4 linked regions of the Xenopus tropicalis genome follow. The protein of the gene in region 3 interacts with the protein of the main gene of each other region in a pairwise test. Links are inferred from orthologs where the notes say so. Each region holds a gene or a part of one and is shown on either strand. Other genes may lie near its edges.

Region 1 (4,533 bases), on a different chromosome or scaffold from region 3:
GGAGAGTGCAGGAAGAGACGCATCCCATCACCACTGGACTGGGATTCAGAATAGGCCCTGGCATTTTAGGTACACAGAGGCCCAAACAGGCCCCCCCCCCCCCCACTAAATAGTGACTGTCTATGGCATCTTACAGCAGCCCCTCTGGCATTTGCCAGAATCCACAGATTGCCAGTCCGGGCCTGCATCCCATTCTTTCTAATGGGGCTGTATTAACACAGGTGCATGTAAGTGCCCAACGCAGGTGGAACGCAATATGGGTGGCTGGGAGTGGGGACAAAATGGGACGGGCCATGATGTAAATGGAGCATGACAAGGGATATGGATGCTGTCAAAAGGGGCAGAGCTATGATAACGACAGGTGGTTTAAAAGTAGAGTGGGGGGGGTGACAAAAGGTTGGTTTGGGTCACAAGCTTAGGTGGGTGGCACAGGGGCTAAATGTAGAGATATTACACATTTACCGGCAATGCACTGTTCCCGGCCTTGCCGGGTGTTTTACCGGCTATACTGGTAAAATACAAGCCAGGTGACAACCCTAGCTCAAGATCGCAGGTGTCACCCATCCTGATCGACAACCTGGGGGACCAATGAGACAGAAGTGGCTTCAAAAGGTAAACCTAAAGTTGTAATTTTTTTCTGGAAAAAATACTGACCTTCCTATATACTGTATTTGCTCTTTTTGCCTATTAATAATATTGGCATCAAGCATCATTTTTACAGGCCAGGTTGCAACCCTAGGTAAAGCTTGTCAGCTTGTCACTCCCAATATGGATGTGGGACGCTTTAAAGGAATACTGTAATGGGAAAATATATTTTTTTTCAAAACCCATCAGTTAATAGAGCTTCTCCAGTAGAATCCTGCATTGTAATCTGTTTTTTAAAAACACAAACAGATTTTTTATATTTAATTTTGAAATTTCCCATGGGGCTAGCCATACTCTTCATTTCCCAGGGTACCACAGCCATGTGACCTGTGCTCTGATAAACTTCAGTCACACTTTACGGTTGTGCTGCAAGTTGGAGTGATATCCCCCCCCTCCCCTTCCAGCAGGCGATCAGCAGAACAATGGGAAGGGAGCAAGATAGCAGCTCCCAGTAGGTATCAGAATAGCACTCAATAGTAAGAAATCCAAGTCCGGCTTGGGACTCCTCCAGTTACATGGGAGTAGGAGAAACAATAGGTTAGCTGAAAGCAGTTCTAATGTGTAGCGCTGGCTGAAAGCTCAGACTCAGGCACAAGGCACTGAGATGGCGCCTACACACCAATATTACAGCTACAAATACATTTGTTGGTTCAAGAATAAAAGTTTAAATGGCAGAGGGAATTATTTGCTATGTAAACAGTGTCATTTAGAAATAAAAAGTTCCCCATAAATATACTCCCAACAACATGAGGGAATCTTTTTTTTTTTACTCAGGTAAGTTTATTGAAGAGGTACATAACAGTGCATAGGTACAATGGTCATTTTCTTGGAAAACTTTTGTATGAGGGAATCTTTAATCATCACACAATATCTATGGGTTGGTCTTTGTGGGTATTTTTTATCAAACACCATAAAGAAACGTAAACGTCCGGGCAACTCCAGGAGACTATCCAATCAGAGCGCTGCTCGGTGCGCTACGTCATTTCCGGTTTGCGCTTGAATGGAAATGGCGGCAGATAAGAATGCGAGCCTAATGTCCGCCAATTGTACCTATGGGGGAGAAAATGAAAACGCGGGGAAGCTATCTAATTCACAGGATGATCCGCCGGTCGTGTTTCTTTGCAGCCATTGCAAGAGGCCGATAGGTGACACGTACAGCTGGATGGGCAGCGACATGGGGGAGCAGACAATACTACTGAAAGGTGCTGAATGGGGAAAATGGACCTTGGTTTTTATTATGCGGGGTTACTGGTTCTGCTGTTTCTATTGTGTGCAGTGTTAGCGCTCTGCCACTAGGCGTCGCTGTGCTACCATGTTCTATTAGTGTCCCTAATACTAGACCTGCAGCAGCAGCAGAAAGTCACCAAGTACCCCACTTTGTTTCTTTCTTTTGACCACACATTTAATTTAATATTTGACATTTTAACGCCCTACTAAGCATTGCAGAGAGTTCATTATAGGAGTTGCCTACCTGCACATTAAATGACAATGTTAATGATTTTAAAGTTATTTATTGCTGTAAAGCAAGTGGCTAAAATACGCTTGTCCTGACTGCTGGCTTTTTGGAGTTTTATATGGTTAGTCAGCTCTCCTCCATCCCGGCCTCCTGTTGCAAAATTGCCTTGTATATTCTGCCATTAGCAGACTGGAGAGGGTGAGCTCAGAAGCATGCAAGGCATTATGGGAACTTTTGGCTGGAGGAGAGATGGTTCTGCTACAGCAGGGGTAGGGATCCTATGGCTCGGGAGCCAGATGTGGCTCTTTTGATGGCTGCATCTGACTCTCGCTGCCAAATCTTTAATAAAAAAATAACGGAGGGTGTGGCCTGCGCTCGGCGGATAGAAGACGTGTTCTAAGGCTTAGAACGCGTCTTCTATCCGCCAAGCGTAGGCCATGTCCTCCTCCGCTTTGCATCCGGCATCCTTTGCACCCACCCTACCTTGCCCCTGCACTCGGCAGGTAGAAGAGTATTCTAAGCCTTAGAACACGTCTTCTATTCGCCGAGCGCAGGCCACGCCCTCCTCTGCACCGCATCCGGCATCCTTGGGATCCACCCTACCTTTCCCCGCAGCATCCGCGGTTAAACATATTGTATGGCTCTCACGGAATTACATTTTAAAACGTGGTGTTTATGGCTCTCTCAGCCAAAAAGGTTCCCGACCCCTGTGCTACATTGTTTCTGTAGTCAGGCAAGCAGTGCAGAGAATAGAAAAGGATTAAAGCTTTGCACTTCTCAGACAATATTGTGCTGATGTGTAATTGAAGGTGTGAGGGTTCATTAGTTGACACTATACATGTGTACAGAATTATTTGTGTCTATACAATCTGCAGGGAGCACTCAAACACTCCAGGGTGGCGTCTGTAAAATCTAGGGGCTGCATCTGATCTTAGAGGGGCTCCATGTGGGTATGCAATTTAAAGGAGACATATAGGATTAAAGGAACAGTAACACCAAAAAATGAAAGAGCTTTAAAGTAATAAAAATATAATGCACTGTTGCCCTGCACTGGTAAAACTGGTGTGTTTGCTACAGTAACACTACTATAATTTATATAATAAGCTGCTGTGTAGCCCCGGGGGCAGCCATTCAAGCTGGAAAAAAGGAGAAAAGGCACAGGTTACATAGCAGATAACAGATAAGCTCTGTAGAATACAATAGTGTTTTATCTGTTATCTGCTATGTGCCTGTGCCTTTTCTCCTTTGAATGGCTGCCCCCATGGCTACATAGCAGCTTATTTATATAAATTATAGACTTTCTGAAGTAAACACACAACTTTTACCAGTGCAGGGCAGCAGCACATTACATTTTAGTTACTTTTATACACTTTCATTTTTTGGTGTTACTGTTCCTTTAAAGCAAAGACAGGCTTCAGTTCCCTATCAGGTCAGCCTGGCTGCTGATTGGTTCCTGTCCTGCAGTGTACTGAGAGCTGCCGGCCCCCCCGCACAGCCTGGGAAAGGAGGCAGCAGAGGAACAGATGGGCGGGACTAATGGGGTTTTTAAAGAAATTTTTAGTAAATCAACTTGAAACACTACTTTTTAAAGTACATTCCTTCTATAGTTAATGAGTACAATTCATTGGCACAATATTGTTTTCCACGCAGTATGTCCCCTTTAACGACCGCTGAGTGTACCATGTGACCAGCATCATGTCCTGTTAAAGGTCTATTGGGACTTTTGATTTTTCTTTCCTTATTTTTAAAAACTGAATTGATCGGCATGTGGTTCTCTTGCAGCTGTATCTGAATACGTTTCGGTGGATAAAGTGCAGATCGTCTCGAAGGTTTCCAGTGACTATGGCTGGTAAGTATGTTGTTCTAGTGGCATTCCCATCCCCATGGAAACCAAGCAGGGCTATTCAGATTTTGATTGGCTGTAGGGCCTATCAGGTTGCGACTCCACCTAATGATGGAGCATTTATACCTGTTGTTATGGCTCCTGCTTCTCATTATCAGCCATTATTGTTGGCTTTACATGTCTTATATCCATTCCCTTTATTCATTTAGCCATGTGAATTACCCCTCCTGCGATGCCCACTCTGGGGCAGTTCTTTATGATTAATGGATATGTTACCCAGGATCTGCCTCCGTTCCCTACGCCCAACACTTGTTAGAGGCCAATTCTGACACTGACATTACAGTGTGTTAAATCCGTAAATCCTATTGCCCTGCAGCATGACTGAAACACTTTGTCCCTAGTCTCTTAAGGTGCTGAAGTCCCAGCTAGAAAATCACTTCAGTACTTGGATGTCTTCTCCTTATTGTATTAGATATGGCTGCCTTCCTGCCTCCTAATGCCCCTGGCTTTGGCCAACCCACTTACCCCTGAGCTGATAATTACATGGGCTTCAGTGTTTGTAAACAATACATCCCGCAGGGAATAACAG
Region 2 (4,653 bases), on a different chromosome or scaffold from region 3:
CCCCCCCCAACCCCCAGCAACCCTGCCGGCTCCTTATCTCTGGAATTCTATCCCTCAGTTCCTTGGAATTCTCCCTCAGCCTCTGTATAATGGGAGTCATATCCTGCCCTTGGAATTTGCCCCAAGGGGGGGTAGTGGGGGCCTCACCCATATGCCCACGGCTTCCATAGAAGCAGGTCCTCCATTGCTTTATTATATAATAAAGTATATTTTTTAATAATAATAATAATAATATAATAATAATATCTAATTGGACCCCCGTGCACTTAGGGTGCCAGGCCTTCAGGGCAGGACAATCCTTGTGCCCCTTAGTTACCCCTAGTAACCATATCTACCTATATTTTATTCATTGTCCTATAAATAAGACACAGTATTTGCCCCACTTTGCATGGAACACAATACAGACAGGGGCAATTAGTCTGAGTGTCATTATTGTATCTTATCTGTGAGAGACAATAGTAGCACATTGGTGGGTAATAAACCCCAGACATGTTAACCCTGTCAGTGCCTGTGTCACCCTGTATAACTCCCTCAGTGACTGCTAATATCCTTATCATTTACAGTAGGGGGTACATTATCCCTTATAATACATGAGTGATACTCAGAGTTCCCTGTATAACTCAGCCTGCAGCCTTGTGCCTTTATATGGGGGGCACAGAACCCCTCAGTGACTGCTAATATCCTTATCATTTACAGTAGGGGGTACATTATCCCTTATAATACATGAGTGATACTCAGAGTTCCCTGTATAACTCAGCCTGCAGCCTTGTGCCTTTATATGGGCACAGAACCCCTCAGTGACTGCTAATATCCTTATAATTTACAGTAGGGGGTACATTATCCCTTATAATACATGAGTGATACTCAGAGTTCCCTGTATAACTCAGCCTGCAGCCTTGTGCCTTTATATGGGGGGCACAGAACCCCTCAGTGACTGCTAATATCCTTATCATTTACAGTAGGGGGTACATTATCCCTTATAATACATGAGTGATACTCAGAGTTCCCTGTATAACTCAGCCTGCAGCCTTGTGCCTTTATATGGGCACAGAACCCCTCAGTGACTGCTAATATCCTTATCATTTACAGTAGGGGGTACATTATCCCTTATAATACATGAGTGATACTCAGAGTTCCCTGTATAACTCAGCCTGCAGCCTTGTGCCTTTATATGGGGGGCACAGAACCCCTCAGTGACTGCTAATATCCTTATCATTTACAGTAGGGGGTACATTATCCCTTATAATACATGAGTGATACTCAGAGTTCCCTGTATAACTCAGCCTGCAGCCTTGTGCCTTTATATGGGGGGCACAGAACCCCTCAGTGACTGCTAATATCCTTATCATTTACAGTAGGGGGTACATTATCCCTTATAATACATGAGTGATACTCAGAGTTCCCTGTATAACTCAGCCTGCAGCCTTGTGCCTGTATATGGGGGGCACAGAACCCTTCAGTGACTGCTAATATCCTTATCATTTACAGTAGGGGGTACATTATCCCTTATGGTACATGAGTGACACTCACATTTCAGGAGGTTGTTGCTGAACTAAAAGACAATAAGTGGGAGACACAGGTGCCTTCCTGCCCCTATGGGGTTAATAGGGAGGGGGAGGCCCAGATCACAGTGCCCGGCCCCGCCCAGCCGCTCCCTAACCCCGCCCAGTTCAGAGCTCAGTCCGGGCTGGGAGCGCAGCGCTGGGTATAACGGGTGGCAGTGCCCGGGGGGTACAGAGAGGCAGCAGGCGATAGGGAGGATACGGAGGGGCACAGGGGGGCACAGGATGGCGCTGGTGATGCCCCCGGGGGGGGAGCAGGGGTATATCCGCACGGTACTGGGGTACGAACACTTCCAGGAGTTGGACAGTTCTACCCTGGCTCTGCCCTCCGAGGAGCGGCTCAAACTCACTGCCAAGGAGCCTGTGGATAAAGCGCAGAGGATCCAGCAACAGGTCCGGCTCACCCTGGCCCGGAGGGGCAACAAGAGCGTAGGGAACGGTAAGTGATTGGCCCTGTAGGGCTTCCTTCCTTCTGTGGGGCATGGGGCTGGGTAAGTGGGGCTGAATGAGTGGATCTGGGGTGTGGCATTAGGGTATGTGGGTAGGTATAGGGTAGGTGAGTGGGTATATGGGGTGTGGGTAGGTATAGGGTAGGTGAGTGGGTATATGGGGTGTGGGTAGGTATAGGGTAGGTGAGTGGGTATAGGGGGATACAGTGTGTGCCAGTGGGTGGATATCGGTTACACTTGGGGTATATTGTGTTGGAGGGGTATATAGGGAAGCTCCAGGGTAAATACTCCGTCTATAATTAATGTTCCTATACAGAGAATATCTCACTGTGTAAGGTGCTGGGCACCCCCCCCCCTCCAGGGCACCCACTCACCCGGGGCACACTCACACCTGGAGCACCCACTCCCCCGGGGCACCCACTCACCCCCGGGGCACCCACACACCCGGGGCACCCACACACCCGGGGCACCCACTCACCCCCGGGGCACCCACTCACCCCCGGGGCACCCACTCACCCCCGGGGCACCCACACACCCGGGGCACCCACTCACCCCCGGGGCACCCACTCACCCGGGGCACCCGGGGCACCCACTCACCCGGGGCACCCACACACCCGGGGCACCCACTCCCCCTGGGCACCCACACACCTGGGGCACACTCAGCACTAGAAACACAGGAAATGCACGACTGTGACGCCTGCACCAATGCAGTAAGTGCCTGCAGGTATCGGTGCAGCGACGCAGTGTGTGCGTGTAACCTACGTGCCTGTGCGTGGAATTAGTGCAGTGACCCGGCGTGTCCTGCCATACAGCTTTGCACAGGTACACAGGGGCGGGGCTTTGTGTTCTGTGTGCAAATGGCTGCACTGATACCCCCAAACAGCCTGTGCCTTAACTGCCCCAACTGCCCCCTTGGGTTGTGGCTCATTTATAGGGATTTATTCACTACGGTAATTGTGCGGGGGGTCAGTACTTGTGAAATGGGAGGCTAATTCTGCCCCAGACTTACCCCTCCCACACACCCCTTCCCTAAAGTGCCCCTGTGCCCACAGCACTAAAATGCACCCCAACAGGGGCCTGTCTGTCACTTGGCGCTAAAACCCATTTTTAAGAGATGCTGATCAATAAGTTATTAATTCATCAGTTCCAATGGTGGCGCTGTTCCATTCAGGTCTATGGGAGACTAATACTGGTGGAAAGTGGTACTGCAGCTAATCATCTATATACCTATTCTAGCACTATGGCAACCCCTACCCATATGTATAAATACAAATATACAGAGAAGGAATGTTCTGGGCACACAATAAGCTGTACCCCCATACTGTACTGTCTAAGGGAAACACTATGGCACCCCCTACCCATATGTATAAATACAAATATACAGAGAGGGAATGCTCTGGGCACACAATAAGCTGTACCCCCATACTGTACTGTCTAAGGGAAACACTATGGCCCCCCCTACCCATATGTATAAATACAAATATACAGAGAGGGAATGTTCTGGGCACACAATAAGCTGTACCCCCATACTGTACTGTCTAAGGGAAACACTATGGCACCCCCTACCCATATGTATAAATACAAATATACAGAGAAGGAATGTTCTGGGCACACAATAAGCTGTACCCCCATACTGTACTGTCTAAGGGAAACACTATGGCACCCCCTACCCATATGTATAAATACAAATATACAGAGAAGGAATGTTCTGGGCACACAATAAGCCCCACCCCCATACTGTACTGTCTAAGGGAAACACTATGGCACCCCCTACCCATATGTATAAATACAAATATACAGAGAGGGAATGCTCTGGGCACACAATAAGCTGTACCCCCATACTGTACTGTCTAAGGGAAACACTATGGCCCCCCCTACCCATATGTATAAATACAAATATACAGAGAGGGAATGTTCTGGGCACACAATAAGCTGTACCCCCATACTGTACTGTCTAAGGGAAACACTATGGCACCCCCTACCCATATGTATAAATACAAATATACAGAGAAGGAATGTTCTGGGCACACAATAAGCTGTACCCCCATACTGTACTGTCTAAGGGAAACACTATGGCACCCCCTACCCATATGTATAAATACAAATATACAGAGAAGGAATTTTCTGGGCACACAATAAGCCCCACCCCCATACTGTACTGTCTAAGGGAAACACTATGGCACCTCCTACCCATATGTATAAATACAAATATACAGAGAAGGAATGTTCTGGGCACACAATAAGCTGTACCCCCATACTGTACTGTCTAAGGGAAACACTATGGCACCCCCTACCCATATGTATAAATACAAATATACAGAGAGGGAATGTTCTGGGCACACAATAAGCTGTACCCCCATACTGTACTGTCTAAGGGAAACACTATGGCACCCCCTACCCATATGTATAAATACAAATATACAGAGAGGGAATGTTCTGGGCACACAATAAGCTGTACCCCCATACTGTACTGTCTAAGGGAAACACTATGGCACCCCCTACCCATATGTATAAATACAAATATACAGAGAGGGAATGTTCTGGGCACACAATAAGCTGTACCCCCATACTGTACTGTCTAAGGGAACACTATGGCACCCCCTACCCATATGTATAAATACAAATATACAGAGAGGGAATGT
Region 3 (3,929 bases):
GTGCTTCGTTATGACTTATAACTTACTGACCACCACTTAGTCCATTGTGCCTTAAAGGAAAAAGAAAGGTAAAGTCACTTGGGGGTGCCAAAATGTTAGGCACCCCCAAGTGACTTTAACCGCCTACCTTTTACCCCGGGCTGGTGCCGCTGTCAGGAGAAAATAGCACCAGCCCGGGGTAGCTGCCGGCGCTTCCTCCTTCCGGCTTCGCTGCGCGCGCATGCGCAGTAGAGTGAAAAGCCGAACTTAAACATTTAAGTCGGCTTTTTCGCTCTACTGTGCATGCCCAGCCACCGGCAGTTTAGGAAGTGGAAGGCGGAAGGAGGAAGTGCTGCGCTCCAGGTGCCCCGGGCTGGTGCTATTTTCTCCGAACAGGGGCACCAGCCCGGGGTACAAGGTAAGCGGTTAAAGTCACTTGGGGGTGCTTAACATTTTGGCACCCCCAAGTGACTTTGCCTTTCCTTCCCCTTTAAGGTGGCCACACAGGTAGACCTAAGCAGCCAATTAAGTCCTTCAGACCAATTTGGAAGGCCTACCTGACTGATATCTGCCCGTATATGGGCCCCTAACAGGCCTACCTGACTGATATCTGCCCGTATATGGGCCCCTAACAGGCCTACCTGACAGATATCTGCCCGTATATGGGTCCCTAACAGGCCTACCTGACTGATATCTGCCCGTATATGGGCCCCTAACAGGCCTACCTGACTGATATCTGCCCGTATATGGGCCCCTAACAGGCCTACCTGACAGATATCTGCCCGTATATGGGTCCCTAACAGGCCTACCTGACTGATATCTGCCCGTATATGGGTCCCTAACAGGCCTACCTGACTGATATCTGCCCGTATATGGACCCCCAACAGGCCTACCTGACTGATATCTGCCCGTATATGGGTCCCTAACAGGCCTACCTGACTGATATCTGCCCGTATATGGACCCCCAACAGGCCTACCTGACTGATATCTGCCCGTATATGGGCCCCTAACAGGCCTACCTGACAGATATCTGCCCGTATATGGGTCCCTAACAGGCCTACCTGACAGATATCTGCCCGTATATGGGTCCCTAACAGGCCTACCTGACTGATATCTGCCCGTATATGGGTCCCTAACAGGCCTACCTGACTGATATCTGCCCGTATATGGGTCCCTAACAGGCCTACCTGACTGATATCTGCCCGTATATGGGTCCCTAACAGGCCTACCTGACTGATATCTGCCCGTATATGGGTCCCTAACAGGCCTACCTGACTGATATCTGGCCCCCAACAGGCCTACCCGACCAATATCTGCCTGTATATGGGCCCCCAACAGGTTTGATTTTCCCGTCAGATCGAGGCCACATTGGCTCATTGATAATGTACTCGGTCCAATGGCCCCTGTGTCTGTCATTGTGATTAGATTGTCGGCCTGATATTGCCCACCTTAGGGTATACTGGGAGAAGATCTGCTCGTTTGGCGAATGTTACAGTGATTGTGTTTTACTCTTAAATTGTCCTTGATTTCTATTAATGTTCATATTTAGCAACATGTGATTGGTGCATCAGCAGTGGGGCCTTTGTTTGGGCAGTGTGAATGCTTCTCATGCCCCTCTGTGTAAGGAAACGGTTAAAGGGGTTGTTCATCTTTAAAAATGAAATATGAGACATTTTAAATTATTTTGCTTTTGGTTCAGCAGCTCTCCAGTTAAATTTTAGCAAGCTATCTGATGCTAGGGTCCAGTTTAACCTAGCAACCAGGTAGTGGTTTGAAAGAGAGACTGGTATATGAATAGAGGACAGCCATGATATAAAGATGAGGAATAAAAAGTAACAATAACAATAAAACTGGAGCCTCACAGAGCAATAGGGTTTGGCTGCCGGGGTCAGTGACCCCAATATGAAAACTGGAGTCAGAAGAGGAAGGCAAATAATGAAACTAGACCAATTACAAAGTTGCCAAGAATATGGTGTTCTATATAACAAACTAAAAGTTAACGTAAAGGTGACCCCACCCCTTTATGGGGGGCCGCAGAGGTGTGAATGTGTGGGGGCGGGTTGGGGAACATTAATATATCCAGCCTTTACTTGTTCCCTATTGAAGCCACAAACATCTCTATTTATCTGTAATGGAGCCTGACGCTTTCATGTCCCGTATAAATCCCCACAGAAGCTCTGCTAATCTTCCCTCCTTCAGGCGCAACAAGTGTGACTTGCTTTACAGCTGTCACAATACTGTTCCAACGCTTGCCTTACGCCGCACAATCCTCTCTGATTTGTTTCCCCTCCATTAGCCCCCTCCTTTCCCATCTCTTGCAGATTTCCTTAACCATGGAGAACGAGGAAATCCCTGAATTCCTGAGCCCCAAGGAGGAGATTGTCTATTGGCGGGAGCTGGCAAAGAGACTGAAACAGAGGTATTTTCATTGGTTCCCAGCCCTTTTGTTATTCAGCGACTAAATGGGGCATTCTTTGCCCCGGTCCTGCCCCTTGGAACTGTGCCTGGGAAAGCACGTTTGTAACCGACGCCATTGAAACCCGTTTGTACCATCCCAGTTTAACCAGATGGGAAGGAAAACCCCTCGCATTAACCCCTCAGCGTGCAGCTTGGCCACGGTTAAAGGGGTTGTTTACCTTTGAGTTAATTTATAGTATGATGTAGAGAGTGATATTCTGGGATAATTTGCAATTGGTCTTCCAGAGAGTTAAATAGTTGAAAAACTACAAAAAATAAAGACCAATTGCAAATTGTCTCAGAATATCAATGTTTATATCAGACTAAAAGTTAATTATAAGGTGAACATCCCCTTTAAAGGAAAGTAGGGAGTGAGTCCTGGCCAGTGTGACATCTTGTTTTTGGCTTGACTTGCCCTTTATGTCAGAATAAAGGGCAAGTTACTTAGGGAGATGCCCTTTATCTTTGTGTATTGTGTGCAATAATGAATTGAATATTGATATACAATAGGCTACAATCGGCACCAATAGCCAACCGTAACTGGCGTTTCTCTCCTTAGTTACCAAGAGGCCCGCGATGAACTGATAGAGTTTCAGGAGGGGAGCCGAGAGCTGGAGGCCGAGCTGGAAACGCAACTGGTGCAGGCGGAACAGAGAAACCGGGATTTGTTATCTGATAACCAAAGGCTAAAGTGCGAGGTGGAGTCACTGAAGGTAAAGGGCTCTTTTACTGGCCAATTGTTGTATATCTGTCTCTCTCTGGCCTTCTCCATTGGCACATACCTGCACAATATTTTGCCCCCTATTGTAAAACATAGGGATATTATAAGTCCCCGAGGAGTTCCTTATAATATATAGTGAATAAAGTGCCCCCTATTGTAACATATAGGGATATTATAAGCCCCCGAGGGGTTCCTTATAATATATAGTGAATAAAGTACCCCCTATTGTAACATATAGGGATATTATAAGTCACAGAGGAGTTCCTTATAATATATAGTGAATAAAGTACCCCCTATTGTAACATATAGGGATATTATAAGCCCCCGAGGGGTTCCTTATAATATATAGTGAATAAAGTGCCCCCTATTGTAACATATAGGGATATTATAAGTCCCCGAGGAGTTCCTTATAATATATAGTGAATAAAGTGCCCCCTATTGTAACATATAGGGATATTATAAGTCCCCGAGGAGTTCCTTATAATATATAGTGAATAAAGTGCCCCCTATTGTAACATATAGGGATATTATAAGTCCCCGAGGAGTTCCTTATAATATATAGTGAATAAAGTGCCCCCTATTGTAACATATAGGGATATTATAAGTCCCCGAGGAGTTCCTTATAATATATAGTGAATAAAGTACCCCCTATTGTAACACTTAGGGATATTATAAGCCCCCAAGGGGTTCCTTATTATATATAGTGAATAAAGTACCCCCTATTGTAACATATAGGGATATTATAAGCCCCCAAGGGGTTCCTTATAATATA
Region 4 (4,448 bases), on a different chromosome or scaffold from region 3:
TGTCTCTTCTCTTGGTGTTTCTGTTACACAAACAAAAAGCAGCTACTGGAAATCCTGGTACTTTTTGAATGACACATTTACATAATCTATATAAAACATGCTAGGGAGACTTTCACATTTTAATGTAAATTTTTATTACAAATGTGGAATCTGGTGGAAACTTTTTTTTTTAAATGTTATTAGTTTTTTATTAATGTAATAATAAGATAAAATAGGTATGGGGTTCCTTATCCTGAAACCCGTGATCCCAAAACCAGTCATCTCCCATATAGCTTGTTTTCATCAATTATTTTTTTTCTGTAATAATAAAACAGTACCTTGTACTTATTCTAACTAAACTGTATAAATCCAGATTGGTGGCAAAACAATCCTGTTGTTTATTTAATGATTAAATGATTTTTTATCAGACTTAAAGTATGCCGATCCAAAACCCTAGTCCTAAACCAGGGGTGGGCAAACTACGGCCCGCGGGCCACATCCGGCCCGTTGGCCTTTTTAATCCGGCCCGCCGACTCCGGGTCCCTTTAAATAATTTCTGGGCCCTGATTGGTTGCGCTTCGTGCGTGCTCGTGATGTCAATACGCAGGGGGCGCAACCATAAAAAAGGATGCAGGGAGCCGGGGAACAGACGCAGCGGAACGATGGAGGGAGCTGCAGGTCGGAGAGGTGGAGGATGCTGGTGGAGGGGGAGCTGGTGGGAGGACGTTGGCCCGGCCTGGCCCGCCTGTGAGTAAATGTGGCCCCCGAGCCAAAAACTTTGCCCACCCCTGTCCTAAACAGTACAGATCTTATACCTGTACCTAAAAGATAACATAAATGTAACATAAATCCATGCAGATGTCAAACCAGTCTGTATTTTTAACAGTTACTTGGGTTTTAATAACCTTTAGGCACAGTGCACCGTGGTATGATTGTATGATCTCCTATTTATAAAACCTCTGGCCCCAAGAATTCCAGATAACTGAAACCATACCACCCGCATTCATGTAGCTTAAAGTTTTATTTCTAAGAATACAAAACTAACAAGTAAGTGCTGACACTTACCACTTGTTTACATGGCCACACTAATGCATTGGATGACTCCAATCAGGTATGGATTTATTATTCCTTTGGCCCCAGGCTGTACTCCGGCTCCACCCAAATCCACCCCCGGCACCACCCTTGATCCGCCCTGAACCCTGTTTCACCCTAGCCCCGTCACCTATTGCTGGCACTAGTTCCCCTTGGAATTAACTAATGTGAACACCTGCCTGAATTACCCCATGCAAATCTGCCACTGACTCCAGGATTTTATATATTCTATCCATGCAAGTGACTGCATATGCTGTGTGCTTTATATTTCGTCATTCTAATAATTATGATGAGAGATTATATTATTTGTGGGATGCAGCATTTTCACATCCTGCATATGGAACATTTTAACTTAGAGCATGAATTGTTCTCTCTTTCTCTTTTGTAAGGACAAATAAGAAGACAGATGCATAATTGTACGAATGGTTTAAGACTATACTAATGCTCTCTAAAGGTGATAGCCATGTTCATGGAGCCTTCAAAATCCCCTACAGCCCAAAAACAGGAAAGGTTTGAGGACAAACTTGAGAGGAGACTGGAATGTCATGAAATCCTGCGAAGCCGCTACAACATCACTTCCTGTCGCCAGGACACTCCCAGCTGGGGAAGAGAACAGGATAACCAGGGACAGTCCCTACGTCAGCAGGAGTTCTTTAAGAGGAGACATCTGTGGGCCGAGGGTTTGGAAGGCAGGCGAATACGGTCTCCCCCAAAATTCCAAAAATATATTAGATATTCTTCATTGAAGCACAGCACACATTTACAGTCTATAAATACTGATCATGGCTTATCAGAAAACAACAAGGTAAATGTTAATGATGTGGTTGTATGTATGAATCATTATCACATAAATATACCATCTTGATATCTAATTTTTACATAATTACTTGTAAAAATTAATTTGTTTAGTATCTTGATGCTAATAACAGAAAAATTAACATTACATAACATAAAAAGTTCTTTCAGGGTAGGGTGAATGAGGCAGTCACCTTAGGCCCCAAATTCAGAGGGGGCCCACCTAACTGACCCCACTGTCTAAAACTGTCTTTGTGCTGTTGGGTTTCTTTGTACACATGGCCATCTTTAATCGTTTTTGTTCAGTGGTGTGATAAATAGACTAATGGCATGGGGGAGTCTGGGAGAGAAGGAAACCTTGTAGTACTCTGTGCAAATATGGGGGAGGCAATGTTTAAATCAATTTTCTGGAGTGATGTTGGTGGCATGTATGAGGTTAATGCAATAATCTGAATCCATCATCTTCAGTGATCTTACTGGTATATCTGGAGTCAATGCACTCTTCTCTGTCTATTTTTATAATTGGCATGTCAGGATCATTATGACATATAGGTTGTATGGTAAAGAGTGTGTGCAAGGTGTGTGTTTTTTTTGGCCTGGCTGGAAACAAAGAGTAATGCGTGTGGTGCAAAAATGCATATTGTATTTATTAATATTTCCCCCATTTTCCCCTGTGTTTTGCCTTATTAGGGTAAAAACCTCACTCATAAAGGTGGCTAGGTGTCTGGGCTTTGTAATTCTCAATTTGTGTACTTATGAGATGAAGTGTAATATCATTATTTCTTAGAGCAAAGATTTCATAATTGTATTGGGCTAGCCAACTTTATAAAATGAAACACTTGTTTTTAATCTTGTTTAAACTAAAGCTTTGAGTAGCATATTTGATGCCTGAAAAAAGATGAATAAAATACATAAAGTCTTGTATATTGTAAGCAAAATAAAAAGAAGTAGAAAGGATTGTAAAGATTAAAGTGTTTTGAGGGCAGCATTTGATGGCATCTCAGATGTTTGTAGGGGCACGGCATGAATGCAACAACTGCTGTATGATTCACAAATGAGAACCATCTTTTGGAGGCTATTATGAACTGAACATTTCTGAGTATGAAATGGACCAGGGGTTCTAGCATCATTTAATTTCTAAACTCTTCATATGGAGATAAAAAAAAGAATAGCTACATAACTACATAATTTTTATTTTATATCAATGCAGACAACTATGTAAGTCTCACTTAGAAATAAGTCCAAGAGGGTAATGTAATAAAAGTTGCAAAGTTAGCTCTTAAATCACCCTAATAGTGCTGGCATAGATAACATAAGCCTTGAAGTACTGCTTCTTGAATTAATTTTTCAATAATAAATAACTATGTGTTGAGATGGTACAATGGTACAATAAATAGTTCTATCATTGTTTAAGGCTATTTGCACCTGTCATTCTGTTGGTCACTGCGCTTGAGTGGAAAACAGCGGTGGTCACAGCCCCCAATAATGGCTGTCACTAATTTCCATAGTGTTCTCTGAGGTGTGCTCTGCCTATGGCAAATCTTGTGGTAACAGCCAGACCACTGCTGAGAAACACTCATTTCGATGCGCCTGTTTTGATGCACAGTGTTTCCTATTAAAGGGCAGTGTTCACAAGTGCTGTTTTTCATCTGAGAGTATTAGCCTAATAAGTTTTAATAGCAAATGATCCTTTTCTTTTCTACTTTTAAAAGACACACCAAATCTAGGGGTACTTTTCTGTTGATGGCGCCACCACTATCTTCTTCCCTGCTCCATTATATTCATGTTTCCCTGGGCAGATGCATACTTAGTGCACGTACAAGACTTCTTTGCAGATTACTGTTTTGTAAATGTGCCCAAATATTGTTTCAAATATTATCAGTACCTGACTAGTATCTTTCCCCTCTGTGCACAGGGTTCTGCTTAGACTTGTTTTTTTATATTCACACAAGGGATCATTGGGAACTGCATAATAAATTACTAGGAAGCAGGGGCTTTTTAAAAATCCTTTGGGGCTGATAGCAGTAGTTTATTCTTACTTAGTTTCATTATTTTTTCTTACATCTTATACATTCAGCTTTCTGTTATAAAACTGGTATATTGTATTTTTTTGTAAATTGTCAGGCCTAATTATATAATTTAGTATAAATCAAAAAATTTTTTGTAATCATTGGATGTTTCCACATTGCAGCTTTCCAGGAAACATAATCACTCTAAGACTTACCCATTTGACTATAAAGGTTTGAACCTGGATACACTAAACAAAGGTTCTCAATGGGATTCTGCACACGACCTAATCAACAGGAATAAAATGTCCACGAGAGAAAAAGGTAAAGCAGTTTGGTTATATTTAGCGCTGCATATTTGTGGCAGAAAGTTATGTGACACAGGTATGGGATCTGTTATAGATTGTGTAGAATCTGAGTTTTTCCAGAGAGAAATAAATAAATAACACAAATTGGAATAATTTGTAATAAAGTAAGGTAATTGTAATAAAGTTATTATTATTAAGATTATTAATATGGCTTACAGCTTAAAGCCATATGTTAAATAAATATACATATGCGTGTGAATTTATATTA

Evidence for each region.
Region 1: the proteins of ndel1 (region 3) and mis18a interact in binary tests that used the Homo sapiens proteins (3 or more experiments, as listed by UniProt). The link is inferred for Xenopus tropicalis from reciprocal best matches to the Homo sapiens genes NDEL1 and MIS18A.
Region 2: the proteins of ndel1 (region 3) and pkp2 interact in binary tests that used the Homo sapiens proteins (3 or more experiments, as listed by UniProt). The link is inferred for Xenopus tropicalis from reciprocal best matches to the Homo sapiens genes NDEL1 and PKP2.
Region 4: the proteins of ndel1 (region 3) and TRAF3-interacting JNK-activating modulator interact in binary tests that used the Homo sapiens proteins (3 or more experiments, as listed by UniProt). The two-hybrid records come from large-scale screens. The link is inferred for Xenopus tropicalis from reciprocal best matches to the Homo sapiens genes NDEL1 and TRAF3IP3.

Annotation. Positions count from the first base shown.
Region 1 is NC_030678.2:15,375,473-15,380,005, forward strand, and holds the start of mis18a (protein Mis18-alpha), read left to right. Parts: upstream 1-1,589; 5' UTR 1,590-1,645; coding exon 1,646-1,847; intron 1,848-3,883; coding exon 3,884-3,950; intron 3,951-4,533. UniProt on the Homo sapiens protein: Required for recruitment of CENPA to centromeres and normal chromosome segregation during mitosis.
Region 2 is NC_030679.2:2,928,421-2,933,073, forward strand, and holds the start of pkp2 (plakophilin-2), read left to right. Parts: upstream 1-1,709; 5' UTR 1,710-1,787; coding exon 1,788-2,001; intron 2,002-4,653. UniProt on the Homo sapiens protein: A component of desmosome cell-cell junctions which are required for positive regulation of cellular adhesion.
Region 3 is NC_030686.2:49,776,167-49,780,095, reverse strand, and holds part of ndel1 (nuclear distribution protein nudE-like 1), read left to right. Parts: intron 1-2,300; coding exon 2,301-2,398; intron 2,399-2,995; coding exon 2,996-3,149; intron 3,150-3,929. UniProt on the Homo sapiens protein: Required for organization of the cellular microtubule array and microtubule anchoring at the centrosome. May regulate microtubule organization at least in part by targeting the microtubule severing protein KATNA1 to the centrosome.
Region 4 is NC_030678.2:50,648,033-50,652,480, reverse strand, and holds the start of TRAF3-interacting JNK-activating modulator, read left to right. Parts: upstream 1-1,504; 5' UTR 1,505-1,534; coding exon 1,535-1,876; intron 1,877-4,057; coding exon 4,058-4,196; intron 4,197-4,448. UniProt on the Homo sapiens protein: Adapter protein that plays essential roles in both innate and adaptive immunity. Plays a crucial role in the regulation of thymocyte development.